2 linked regions of the Xenopus tropicalis genome follow. The protein of the gene in region 1 purifies or fractionates together with the protein of each later gene. This does not show direct contact. Links are inferred from orthologs where the notes say so. Each region holds a gene or a part of one and is shown in the gene's direction. Other genes may lie near its edges.

Region 1 (6,612 bases):
ATTCTGAACTTTCTGGATAATGGGTTTCCAGATAAGGGGTCCGATACCTGTGTAAGGTGCCAGTTTTTTGTTTTTTTTTTTAATTTCCTTTTGAAAAATGAATGCATTTTCTTTCCCTTCATGTTTCACCCAGTATCACCCCAATAAACCAGACTGAAGTCCCCAGAGACAGTCTTTAAAATAGGCCCTGGCATTTCCAGTACAGAGGCCCAAACAGTCCCCACAGGCCCAATAAAGAGTGACTGTCTATGGCATCTTAGAGCAGCCCCTCTGGCATTTGCCCAAATCTGCTGATTGCTAGTCTGGCCCTTCCCGAAGTTTTACCAAAATGTCCTTACCAGAGTAACTGTTGGATTTAGATCATACAGCTCTTTGTCTCTGCCCTTCTGTGCATGTCCCAGAGAAAGGGAGATGGCACTATCTTGAACAGTACCCTAGGCTGCTGGGAATGGTTCCTTAGAAAATATAGCCCTGCCCAATCCCACTCAGCAAATGCCATTTCCTGAAATCTCCTCCCCCTATTTAGGGAATAGTTGGACTGCAACTCCACAAGAACAGTTAGTGGCAATGTAGTAAAAGGAATACTCTCAAAACTCATCAGGAGAATTTTGCACAGAAATGCATTTTATTACAGTATAAACAGATTTTTTGATATGTAATTTTTAAATTTCACATGGTGCTAGCCATATTCTTAATTTCCTAGGGTGCCACAGCCATGTGACCTGTGTTCTGATAAACTTCAGTTACACTTTACTGCTGCAAGCTTAAGTGATATCACCCCCCCCCCCCCAAAAAAAAAAAAACGAACAGGTTTCCCTACCTAGTGTAGACATGAGAATAGCATCCAATCAGGAGAAACCCTATTTGCTATTATGTGACTTGGATCATACGGACAGTACATTGAGTAAGAGAAACAATAGGTTACCTGAAAGCAGTTCTAATGTATAGCGCTGGCTCCTTCTGACAGCTCAGATTCAGGCACAACGCACTGAGGTGGCTGCATAAACACCAGTATTACAACTAAAAAATATACATTTGTTGGTTCAAGAATAAAATTTTAAATGGCAGAGTGAATTATTTGCGATGTAAACAGTGTAATTTAGAAATAAAAAACCATAAAAATCGTGTCAGAATTCCTTTAACATTTATAATTAAAAACCTCCAAATATATGTTTTGTTTTTTTTTAGTGATCACTGTATTTTCACTAATGAGTGTCAGTCGTATACTCAGATTATATGTTAATATTTTGCTGTGTGCAGGGCGGAGCCTGAAGGCATGGTTGCAGGACAAGTACTGTGATCACCCATTGGAGCAATGCCAGGATACACGTTTGCACAATGCAGCCTGTGTGGGGGATATTGACACGCTAAGGAGCCTTCTGCAAGATGAGAGGTTTCTAAGGTAAACACCATGAAAGGAGCAGCAGTGCTTGAATCTGTGTGCATGAAAACAACAAGAAAAGCTGCCTGTTTTCTAACCAATACATAACTGGCTTTTTTATTTTCTGCCTCTCACCAGAAGGGCAGAGGGGTGCTTGTTGTCCTCCCAGTGTCACACTGTAATGCTGTAAATCTATTTAAAGAAAATTGAAATGTAGCCTTAAAAATGGAACATGAAAACAGAAAAGTTATTTATTCTTCATCAAAGGGTGAATGTACAGGCTTACAGGTCAAGTTTGGGCTGAAAAATTAGCCACCACTTCCGGTCAGGCCCAGAGTGGCAATCTGTGGATTCTGGCAAATGTCAGACGGGCTGCTGTCGCTATTTATTGGGCTTTATTGGGTTTGGGTCCCAGTGTACTTAAAATACCAGGGACTGTTTTGAATCCCAGTCCAGGCCTGCTTCGAGCTTGGGTATGGAGCAGCTAGAGGCACAGCTGGCATACGGCCCCTTTCCTTATTGCCTACTCTAAGGCAGGCATTGAGGACAGGGCTGGAGTGCGCCACCTGATGCTGCTTTTTGCATGGAGTGCTGGATTTTTGATCAGACTCCATGCAAAGAGAAGCAAGCCCAGCAAGTACTGCTAAATGAATGCCAGGGGGCACATACTTGCATCCCCCAGGGTCGCAAATAAGCCCCATTATGTTACCCCATTTGACTTGTAATGAACATGCACTGGAAATACTACACAAAATGCTGGTAGAGAGTCACTGAATATCTGGTGTCTCATTTACCTGCCCACATTATACACGTTTTGTTTTCTGAGTGTAATGAAATGTCAGACATGTACATGAGTGTAGCTCTGTTATTATAGAAGACACACCATGCAGCAGAACCTTAGCTTTTACCATAATTTTAGCCTAAAAGAGAACAAAACCCATTTATGCATAGCCCTCCCTCCCTCCTCCTGAATCGCAGCACCATCATGCCTCAGTATGGCCTAACTCATGACAACAGGCGGAGTAGCCCAGGGCAGTTGCCAGCCAGCATCACTGGCTACTTGAATTCCTTTCCCAGGCCTGCTGGTGACCAGAAACATGAGCAGCTGAGCCTGATTTAGTCCAGAATTCAACTTTATGTGCATGCTCCTGGTTGGCGATTGCTGCCAAAAGGCCTGAGAGTGGAAGTCAAGCATATAGAGAGAATGGCCACTGATGCTGTTGGACTGCTCTTACCATGAGGTACAGTGGAGCAGGCAATATTGGGGCATTTCAATGGTTCAGGAAGAAGGCTTCTATGGCAAAGTGTGTAAAGGGGTTTTGTTCTCCTTTAATAAATATTCTGTTTTAACTATTCCCTTTCAATGTATAGCATGTAAACCTAAAGTAGTATATTTCAAGGGTCTTTAAAGGGCAAATGTATTCTGTTTATAAGCAGGAATTCTCTGATTCTCTAGCTATACAGCAAGCATATAAATATACAAATATGAGATCATAGTATATTGAGCTTTTTTTGTAAGCCTAGTGGTAGCTTCTTCATTATTAGCAGGGGAAGGTAACTTGATAACAGTAATATGAACACTGAAGCTATGTGATTCCACCATTCAGAGTACTGCCTTCAGAATAATGGCTTCAGTTCTAAGTTGGGGAGCTGCATAACAAAAGCTGCATAACAGAGAAATCAGTGGTATAGGAGCTGCTCTGTCCTGTATCTCACTAATAGCTGAATCTTCTGTTCCTCTTATAATTCCTATACATAAATAGGGCACTAACCCACAGGCTTTATAGGTTCTAAAAAGATTTCAGTCATTCTTTTGGCTTTCTGTCTATAGATGGGAACATAATCATTGGGCAGAATTTCTGGACTCAGCATCAATAACAGCCCACAAGGAAGACTAAAATGAACACTTGTGTTGCCATTCAGTTAATGCATGCAAATCAGTAGCAGGACAAATGCACTTTAAAAGGCTCATGGGTGTATACCTTTATGCATTCGTGTTTTTTATGTTTTTGTTAAACCTAGGGGTATAGATGAGCGAGCTGTGTGGTGTAGCGGTTGGCTACCCTGTTCTCCATTGCGCATTGCAGCCACGGCCGGACATGCTGATTGTGTGGAGCTCCTCATCCGCTCTGGGGCACAGCTGGAGCTGGTAGATGTGAAGGGACAGACCCCTCTCTATGTGGCTGCAGAAAATGGACACCTGGAATGTGTAAAAGTTCTGCTAAGGGCTGGGGCAGACCCAAATGGCAGTCCTCACAATAGAAGCTCCCCCATATACCATGCTGCACGCGTGGGCCGGGCCGACATACTGCAAGAGTTGATCAAGTGAGAGCTCAGTAACTTTATTTTTCATGATATTTGTATGGGTGTGCTCAACTAAATCTTAATCCAATTATAGAACACATGGCTGCATAGACACCACTCTTAACAGTGCTCTCCAAAGGGGTCATTCCCTACATGCAAGACAGGGTGCATAGTCTAAAAGACAGACAGAGACCATGTTTTACACTTTTCTCTGTGCTCTGCAGGTAGCAGAATTGCCACAGGTCACCTCTTTGGCAGGGTAGATTTTTTTGTTGGGTCATTGACGGCACTGGCTCGTTAATGCAGTCCACAAACCAATGGTGCCTATGCACGCCATTTTAACTCAGTTGTTTGGCCCTGGGGTCAAATAATCAAACTAGCCTTGATAGCACCCACCCTTAGGTGGGCATATCTGGAGGAGATCCCCTTGCTTGACGACTTCGCCAACGAGTGGATCTTACAGTGTATGGCCACCTTAAGCTAGTATCCCTGTCTTATTTTCCCTTGGCCACACAGCGTCTGTATGCCCCAAATACATTATTGCATTATACATTATAAAACTTTAAAAGCATTAAAACATGAAATAATAGTAATAATTAAAGAACACTAAACAGTACTGATTTTTTTAAAGAATATTTGGCTGTTCCATATAGTCAGCTAATTACTTATGACACTAATGTTTTCTGATATACACAAATATGTACACATAGTATTAAGATGCATATTAATGCCAACAGAGTTTATGGAGGACTCGTGACCTTCTCACCTGTTTGCAGGTATGGTGCTGATGTCGATGTGGATCACCAGCTGTCTTTTCGTGGTTCTGACTCTTCCCCTCGATTGCTGACTTCTCTGGCCTCCTGCCCACTCTATATTAGTGCAGCGTATCACAATCTAGCCTGCTTCCACCTGTTACTCCAGGCTGGTGCCAACCCTGACTATAACTATTGGGGAAAGGTGTCAGAGGAGAACTTTCCACGAGGGGCACCTTGTTGCTTACTAGAGGCAGTTCTGCGGCATGGATGTGATCAGCAATTTGTGCAACTTCTTATTGACTTTGGGGCAAATCTGAAACTTGTGCGGGGGGAGCCATGTGCAGAGGAACATCCAAGGATAAGTGTGAACACCGCTGCGCTTGAGCTTTTTAAAGAAGCAAAAGGTAAGGTTGGCCTCCTGTGTGTAAATCTAGGTTGAGGTTTGAGTGAAATGGAGGAATTGCCATGAATTATTAATGCTGTTTATAAACAGTGCTGCAGAAAACCATTCAGGCGGCCAAACAAACAAAAAACTGCAGGTCAAAGAAATTAACCGAAATATTAGATTGTTTAAAAATGGATAATATAATGAGTAAATACATATATCCTGAAATATTCATTTCCTTTACTTTGCGTGCCAGAATTTCTCTACATATGCCTGCTGCTGCTGTAGGACAATGCTATTTAAGAGTTGGTGATGAATTGTCCCTATAAAGGAAGCCCCCACCACTGTCAGGGCTAATAACTAGTAACCACACCCTCAAGAGATACTGCTGAATGAGCCAAGTTAAATTAAAATTTCGGAAGAAACAGATTTAATCATTTACTTAATTCCTATCTGGCAGCATCATTTGCCCTTCTCCTGGAAAAACTTGTTTGGCACCACCCAGTGATTGTAACTTTCCTTTTTTTTTTTTTTAAAGGAGGCTATATACGCACAGATAGTAGGAAATTAACTTTTATCTTTATGTATCTGTGTGTCTATGCTGGCACATGGATCCCCACTGATATGTATGTACTTAGGATACTGGTTCAGGGTATATCAGCAAATGAGGATGTAAAGAGGAGCTGATCTTCACTTACTGCTTTTCCAACCATTTGTTCTCTATACACAAATGACTGGAACAGTAGAAAGGTGGCATGTGTGGCCACTAATAACTCTGTCTGTTCTGCCCATGGATTAATTTGGAGAGTGGACCAGGTTGGCCTGTGTATTACCACTTTGGGATTTTGAAAATCTCTTTCCCACACATGGCTTGTTACTGTAGCATTTGCCAGGTGGTTGTCATCCGAAAATACTGTTTCACTGTACCAACATGCCAAGTGATTTTTTTTTAATATCTGCTGCCTATCTCCTACAGTTACCCAACCTTTTTCACCAGCATCAGATTGACATTTCTGCCTTTTTATTATATCAAATGTGCCTCTTCCTTCCTTAGGTTATCCGCGCGCTCTTGCCAGCCTGTGTCGTATCATAGTTAGGAGAGCACTTGGAAAACAGAGATTGTCTTCTGCCTGCAAACTCCCCGTTCCACCACGAGTGCTGTCCTTCCTCCTCCATGAACTGCCTTAACTTCCCTCACTGTATTACAGTCAGGTTGCACAAAGTGCAGCTAGATACCAAAGGGACAGAAAGAGGAGTCTTCCACAATCATCTGAACCTGCATTTCATGTTTCCTTGTTGCGACTGTGAATTATGTATTTCAACTGACAAACCTGAGATCCATACATGAATGTCTATAATGCTCATGTCATAGGACAAGGTAAGCGGGACTGGGTGTCCCTGCCATGCCAGAGCTCCTAAATGGACACTCACTCAAACAGATCTTTGTTGGAGGAGTAATGTTGCTTATCCAGTTATATAATGTAGAAAGCAGAACTGGACTGGCAATCTGGGGATTCTGGTAAATGCCAGAGGGGCTACTGTAAGATGCCATAGACAGTCACTATTTGGCCCTCTGTACTTGAAATGTCAGGGCCTATTTAGTGTCCCAGTCCAGACCCGGTAGAAAGGGTCGATCAGAGCTTGTTTACATTAATTTCCTAAACATGGGAATTTGCAGGGGGAGTCACATTATGGCTTTTTGTACTGTTTTATTCTAGTATTTTGTTCGCCATGGGTAGAACGGAGATTGGTGCACAGAGGCCCAGAAACTCTGGCTAATTTAGATC
Region 2 (7,317 bases), on another chromosome or scaffold:
ATAATTTCTATGGAAATTAGAATTTGTAAACAGAATTGAGAGCAACAGTGGTTGTGTGGCCAAGCTTCCAATAGAGTAGCACCATGGTCCTATTACTGACATACCAAGTATTCATTGGCTGGACTGTATAAAAATGATGTTGTACTGAACCGTCTATTTCATGGAGGGGGAGAGTAAAGAGAGATACAATTAAAACATAACTTTTATAGATGCATACATGTAGATATATGTGCAAACAATTTAACGTCTGTTTTTGTGGCAATTTGATTTACAGGTTAATGACGTTTAATTGAAATAAATATGTGATACTGTTTCTGCATTTTGTATGATAATAGGTGCTCAGTGGACCCATTCTAGCTCGTTAATCTCAGTTGTGCCCTATAATAGGTATATAGGTTCTTTGGGATGAGATTTATATTATGGACAAAGAGAGAAAGAGGGTGTCACCGAGATAAGGTCAAATCTGAAAGAAAAATTGTTGCATCTTTAGAGAAGCTGTTAATATATGTACTGCACAAATATACATACAAAATAAAACCTGGTGTAATCATTGCATTGGACTTCAGAGATCTGTGCCAGTGTGCCAATTCAATAAATATTACATTTCTGCCAAGCATTAAGTGTCCAGTTTAAATTTTCCCTGTTTCCCTTTATTTCAGGCATACAAAGCTGTTGTAAATGATGCAACAATATTTAAACTTGAATTGCCACTAAAGCAGAAAGGGTAAGTCACATGTGTCTTTAATTGTTATTCTCTTTGATTTATATATTTCTCAGGCTAAATGATTTTGTGTTATACTTATTTATAAGGAACAAATTAAGAATAGCTGGGAGAGGCGAGGGCTGTCGTGATAGATCCTCAGACAAGGGTAGAGATAAGGGCAGGGGTTAGAAATAAATTGATGTACAGGTAAGGTTCCATAGTACCTCTTCCCATTATGACAATATAATGTATATTATTTTGGTAGGAGCATCCTGGATCTATAAATCCAAAATGTGGTGTTAGTAACAATCATTATTCTTATTATGGGATTCTTTCTCATTTAAGGGTGGGTCTGAAAACACAGCCGGAGTCCAAGTGCCCAGAGTTGCTCGCTAACTATTGTGATATGTTGTTACGGAAAACGCCACTCAGTAAGAAACTGACTTCTGAGGAAATCGAGGCAAAGTTGAAGGAAGTGGTATGTACAGAACACATTTTGTGTCCTTCTTACACTATGATTTGGGCTTTGTTGCATTCAAAGGTAAATGGTAACCTTAACGTTATTCAGCATTTGGCATCTGATGAGCAGTACACCAGCTTCCTTCACCTACCGGGCTCTGTAGGACTAAGTAGGCTGTATAGAGACTGAATATGAAACAGCAGAAACTCAACTTACCTTTTAGGCAAACCAATTAATTCACTAAGGCCCCCAGACAACAGCAAGCTAGTGGCACAGATGCTCATAGCCGCAAAAACTCTATAAGAAAATGACGTGTCACCCTTCCCAACTCAGGCTTGTTATGAAGGAGAGAGATCTTTCTCTGATATGTGTAAGAGGGGCTGAAACCAATCATTATACAGCAGGTTAAGAGATGGTGTTGGTTACAACTGTGCTATACTGCAGAAAACCATAGAAGAGCTACACCCTTGATGTAACACCAATAGACCGATAGAATTGAATGACAATGGGTTAAACTCAATTTACATGTTCTTTTCTGATTTCCTACCTGTAAACATATTTGGAATAAATTAATTACTGGAATAAAAAAAAATATAACGGACTGTATTTGTTTTCCCCTGCAGCTGTTGGTGCTAAAATATGTGCAGAACAAGGATGTGTTCATGAGGTACCACAAGGCTCACCTGACACGCCGCCTCATTTTAGATATCTCCGCCGACAGTGAAATAGAAGAAAACATGGTGGAGTGGCTCAGGGTAACTATCACTTGAGCTGTTCAAACTGACATTAGACAGTGCCCAAACAGTGGGCACTGTAAATGGAGCAAGTTTAGGGAAACCCATAGTAGACTGATTGCAGGTAGCTAGTCGCTGGTAAAGTAAATATCTGTAGGGCAAGAATCTTTCACTGTGTAACATACTACATTTCTTTGTTCTGTTGTGTATATCTTTTAGGAGGTGGGCATGCCAGCTGATTATGTAAATAAACTAGCCAGAATGTTCCAGGACATCAAAGTATCAGAAGACTTAAACCAGGCTTTCAAAGAAATGCATAAAAATAATAAATTAGCCCTGCCAGGTAAGTTTGGAATTGGGTTTAAAACAATTGTTATTATTTCCTGGTATTTATATTGTGCTGACACTTTTCTGCAGTGCTTTACAGAGATTATACCATTCATATAAGGCCATGCCCCTAGGACACTAGGATCAGTTTTATCAGGAGCCAAAAGACCTGCCTGTTCTTTTTTTTTTTTTTTTTTTTGTGGGTGTGGGAGGAAACCAGAACTAGGGGTAGGCAGAAGGGGCACGTGCCTAGGTCACAGCTGAGAGGGGGAGCTAGAACCCTAGGCATATACCTCTGCTGCCTCCACTACCTTCAGCCCTGGGGGTCAGGTATGCTGAGTGAGGAGCTGTGCCATTGACTGAATGGTGGAGCAGAGATCAGTGGCAGCACCAGAAAATAGGTGAGAATGTTAAGAAAAAGAGACTTGCTGAGTAAGGGAGAGAGAGTTGCGACATGGAAGGGGGGTGGGTCGATAAATGAGATTTTCCCTTGGGTATCCTGGTGTGGTGGCCCTTCTATAAATGGAGGAAACCCATGGGGAGAATATGGTGCCCAAGCCGGAATCAAAATAAGGCCCCCACCCCAGTAAGGCCGAAGTGCTACTCGCTGAGCCCACCCTCATTATAAATATGACCATTGTTTATTTTTTGCCCTTACTTCCACTTCCATAATCAGGACCAAAAACACCTCATTTTCAGGCTGGTAAGCACTTGTATTGGGGGTTTTTTGTTAAATTGACAGTGTGTGGCACTTTTCACATGTCTAGTCCTTACTAGGACTAAAAGTTCTTTATACGGGGTATTTATCTGGATAGAGTAAATTAATTAACTATCTTCTTCTTCAACAGTGCATTTTATTTACCTGCTTTTTTTTTTTTTTTTAATTATGGCCAGCTGACTCTGTGAATATTAAAATTTTGAATGCCGGTGCTTGGTCACGGAGCTCGGAAAAGGTATTTGTGTCCCTTCCCACTGAGCTCGAGGACCTCATTCCTGAAGTAGAGGAGTTTTACAAGAAAAACCACAGCGGCAGAAAGCTTCACTGGCACCATCTTATGTCCAATGGCATTGTGAGTATCTGCTCTGCACGGCATATTAGTGAATTGAGTTGCTAAGGGCTTTCCATGTATAAAGCACTTAAAAAAAGAAAAAAAACACAGAAATTCCTAGTAAATCACTGTAATCGGTTCCTTTAAAAATTATGAATAAATTCAATTTTTTATGTTCAAATCCAGCTGCAAAAAAGTTCTTTCTTTCTGCATCATTTGAAATCCTGGCAGGGGAGGAGGGGCTAAAACATTGACGTTACAAATGGTAACAACTTCTCCACAGCTTGCAGGAACTACATAACCCACAATGCATTGCACTGTGATTTTCCTTTCCTTATTGACATCACATGTGCAGGGAATTGTGGGATTGGGAGGAAGCAGGCTAAAGGCAGCCTGAGGACAGGCAACTACTGTTACATTTTATTTGAGTCTCAAAGTAGTCAGCCAGATCATTAGGGTGTAATTTGTTATTGCAAAGTTTTTGGTGCTTTTTCAGAATCTCTCTCTCTCTTTGTATAATGGACCAGTCCTGTAATGTTGAACTGGATGGCACGCCACTGTTTTACAGATAACATTTAAGAATGAGGTTGGCCAGTACGACTTGGAAGTTACCACTTTCCAGCTGGCAGTTCTGTTTGCTTGGAACCAAAGGCCGAGAGAAAAAATCAGCTTTGAAAATCTTAAACTGGCAACAGAGTTACCTGATGCTGAGCTTAGGAGAACTCTGTGGGTAAGTGTAAATGTGTTAGTATCGGTGTGTGTCATTGGCTAAACTGAACCTGCATGGCTGTGAGTTGTTGCATGGTAAGCCAGCCAAATCATTGCCATGTACGTGTTCTATGTGGGATCCAAGTGTTTGGTTCTTAATCACCTGGGGGCCTGTTCAGTAAATTGCAGACTGTATAGGGGCAGAGGCACTCCAAGGCTGACTAGATTTTGGGTTGCCCTTGGCATAACTGCTTACAATTGTTTCATTTTCTCTGTTTAGTCTCTTGTAGCATTTCCAAAGCTGAAACGCCAAGTATTATCCTATGAACCGACGGTAAATTCCCCAAAAGACTTCACAGAGGGTACCCTCTTCTCTGTAAATCAGGAGTTCAGCCTAATGTAAGTCATGTTTACATGTTTAATGCTGCTTGGTATCTTGTTTAATAGCTGCTTCACTAAACACTGCTGAATGTCTGTGCACCTTGGGTGGATCTATAAGCATTCTACTTGCACTGCTCCGGCTTTCATTTACAGGGCAACTTTACCTTTATTTTGTCTAATGCAGATATCCATAGGTACATTATAAACTGTTTCCCCTAGCTTCTGTGTCAATCTGCCAGGTTCAGCTCTGTAAAAGCTTCTCTTGTTCTTAAGGTGGCCATACACATAAAGATCTGCTCGCCTGGCAAGGTCGCCAAGCGAGTGGCTCTTCTCCCGATATCCCCACCTACGGATGGGCAACATCGGGGAATTTAGGCTAATTTGGTTGTTTGGCCCTGGGGCCAAGCGATCGAATTATAATGACTGGAATAGGCGAGCCGATGCGGTCCCCAATCAGACTGAATTTTTTAAGCTGCAGAATCAGTCCAAGGGACCAATATTGCCAGCTTCAATAGGCAGGTTGGCCATAACCTTATCTCCTGCCTAGCCCTCCCTAAATGTGATCAAACCCTTACAAGCAGAAACTCTTGAGTGGTGACTTTGTGGCTCCATGGCCTTATGTTACCTTTGGCTTTGTCAGTCATTTGTGGCCTATAATGGGAATGTCCAGGAAAGTGGTGGTAAAACGTGCTTTTGCACTAGCACAATAATTGGAATCCCCCACTCTTCCCTTTACCCACAATCTGGCACAGTTAGACAGGAAGGTGCTCCCAATGAATCACTAAGTGCTACTGTTTTATCACTTCATCATGACTGTGTGTTCTAATCCTAGAAAAAATGGAAAGGTTCAGAAACGGGGTAAGATCAACTTAATCGGCCGCTTGCAGCTGACCACGGAAAGGATGCGAGAAGAAGAGAATGAAGGCATTGTGCAGCTAAGGATATTAAGGACACAGGTACAGTATGTCCTGGCTATTAGATGGGAGTCACAAAGGGAGCCATGTCCAACACTGACATTTAGGGCAGAGGTGCTGGCACGTTTTGCTCCCTGTGCTATTTACTAGCTCATAGGAAGGGGGGAGTAAAGCAGAAAAAAATACCCCACCATAGACTTTTATGATAGTTGGACTGATTCTGCCAGTATGGCATCTTTAATGTTCAGCTGTTGTGAGTACACAGTTGTATAGTTAGTACAGCTAGAGTTAAAAGGAAGTCACTGGACTTAGCCCCCTGTGGTTAACACATGAAAGTGTTAAAGAAACTAACAATAGGGCTCTAGAAGAATTTTGGGAGTTAAACCCTGGAACTGCCCCTACTGATGTAGTGTGGGAGGCTGGGAAAGCCACCCTTAGGGGTGCCCTCACCTCCGCAATTAAAGGGGTCAGGAAAAAGGCAAAAGAGGAACTAGAGGAGAGACAAAATAACCTAACGGAAGCAGAGAAACAATACATTATCCATACAGGCCCAGACACCCTACGTACTTTTAGGGCGGCACAAACCGCATTAGAAGAGACCAGAATTAAACTAACACAGAAAAAGCTGCTTTATGCTACGCAGAGAACGTTTGATCAAGGGGAAAAAAATGGCAAAATCCTTGCATATCTCTCCAAAGCCCAAGCCCCTTCGAACACCATCACTAAGATCACATCCATGAATGGGGACATAATTACTGAGGTATCCCACATAACCAATATCTTTGCACAATACTACAAACAGCTTTACACCACTGAAGCCAACTATACCCCACTGCAGCTATCAAACTACATGGATACCATCCCCATCCCCCGATTATCCCTACTACTTAGGGCCCAACTCAACAGTCCCATCACACTAGTGGAGGTAGAGGAGGCAATAACCTCGCTTCAACTCAATAAAACACCAGGCCCAGATGGATTCCCTGCTGACTGGTATAAGACATCTGCAGAACTTATCTCCCCCTGGCTCCACAAAACTTTGCTTGACGCAACAGAAAATAATAAACTACCTCGCTCCTTTAACACGGCCCTTATTGTGGTCATCCCCAAAGATGGTAAGGACCCATTGGAGTGCGGCTCTTACAGACCTATCTCCCTCCTCAATGTAGATGCAAAAATCTTTGCAAAAATCCTCTCTAACAGACTGAAACTAGTAGTTGAGGAACTAATTGAGCCTGACCAAACAGGCTTTATGCCAAACAGATCCACCAATATAAACATCCGTAGGCTGTTCACTAATATCCATGCCGACCACACCAACAAAGGTTCCCGTGTAGTAGTCTCACTTGACGCAGCCAAAGCCTTCGACTCCGTCGAATGGCCCTATCTCCTGAAACTCCTTGAGAGGTTTGGCCTGGGTGAGCAGTTTGTTAAATGGGTGGGAATGCTATATGAAGCACCAACAGCAAAGGTTATGGTAAATAGACACCTATCCCCAGAGTTCTCTCTAGCTAGAGGTACCCGGCAAGGTTGCCCACTGTCACCTCTCCTATTTGCCCTAGCAATAGAGCCCCTTGCCATTCTGATCCGACACTCTGCAGCCATAACAGGTCTCAAACTGGGGGCTGTGGAGGAACGCATATCTTTATATGCTGATGATGTTTTACTGTATTTGGACTCCCCTGGTGCCTCACTACAGACAGTCCTAGGCATAGTCCAAAACTTTGGGGACTTCTCCGGCCTGCGAATCAATTGGGAAAAATCCAGCGTATTCCCCATAGACTCAAATATTGATCCAAATATCTTCCCTCCTACTCCCTTGCAGTGGGTTGACACATTTAAATACCTGGGTATCCAAATAAGAAAAGAGCTGAGCGACTTCATCCCCAACAACTTAGACCCCATTCTTAAAGCCATGAAAGAGAAGCTGCTGGTGTGGGCCAATCTCCCCTTATCCATCTGGGGTAGAATCAGTCTGTTAAAAATGATATTCCTTCCTAAATTTCTCTATATTCTCCACAACTCACCTATTTCCATTCCA

What was found.
Region 2: the proteins of asb1 (region 1) and cul5 purify together in Homo sapiens (affinity purification with mass spectrometry; 6 studies listed by BioGRID and IntAct, counting the BioPlex papers as one, with this or other methods). This does not show direct contact. The link is inferred for Xenopus tropicalis from reciprocal best matches to the Homo sapiens genes ASB1 and CUL5.

What each region holds. Positions count from the first base shown.
Region 1 is NC_030685.2:60,745,282-60,751,893, forward strand, and holds part of asb1 (ankyrin repeat and SOCS box protein 1), read left to right. Parts: intron 1-1,260; coding exon 1,261-1,402; intron 1,403-3,403; coding exon 3,404-3,706; intron 3,707-4,422; coding exon 4,423-4,844; intron 4,845-5,879; coding exon 5,880-6,013; 3' UTR 6,014-6,612. UniProt on the Homo sapiens protein: Probable substrate-recognition component of a SCF-like ECS (Elongin-Cullin-SOCS-box protein) E3 ligase complex which mediates the ubiquitination and subsequent proteasomal degradation of target proteins.
Region 2 is NC_030678.2:159,946,492-159,953,808, reverse strand, and holds part of cul5 (cullin-5), read left to right. Parts: intron 1-659; coding exon 660-724; intron 725-1,048; coding exon 1,049-1,181; intron 1,182-1,786; coding exon 1,787-1,918; intron 1,919-2,116; coding exon 2,117-2,240; intron 2,241-3,118; coding exon 3,119-3,294; intron 3,295-3,841; coding exon 3,842-4,003; intron 4,004-4,261; coding exon 4,262-4,380; intron 4,381-5,194; coding exon 5,195-5,318; intron 5,319-7,317. UniProt on the Homo sapiens protein: Core component of multiple cullin-5-RING E3 ubiquitin-protein ligase complexes (ECS complexes, also named CRL5 complexes), which mediate the ubiquitination and subsequent proteasomal degradation of target proteins.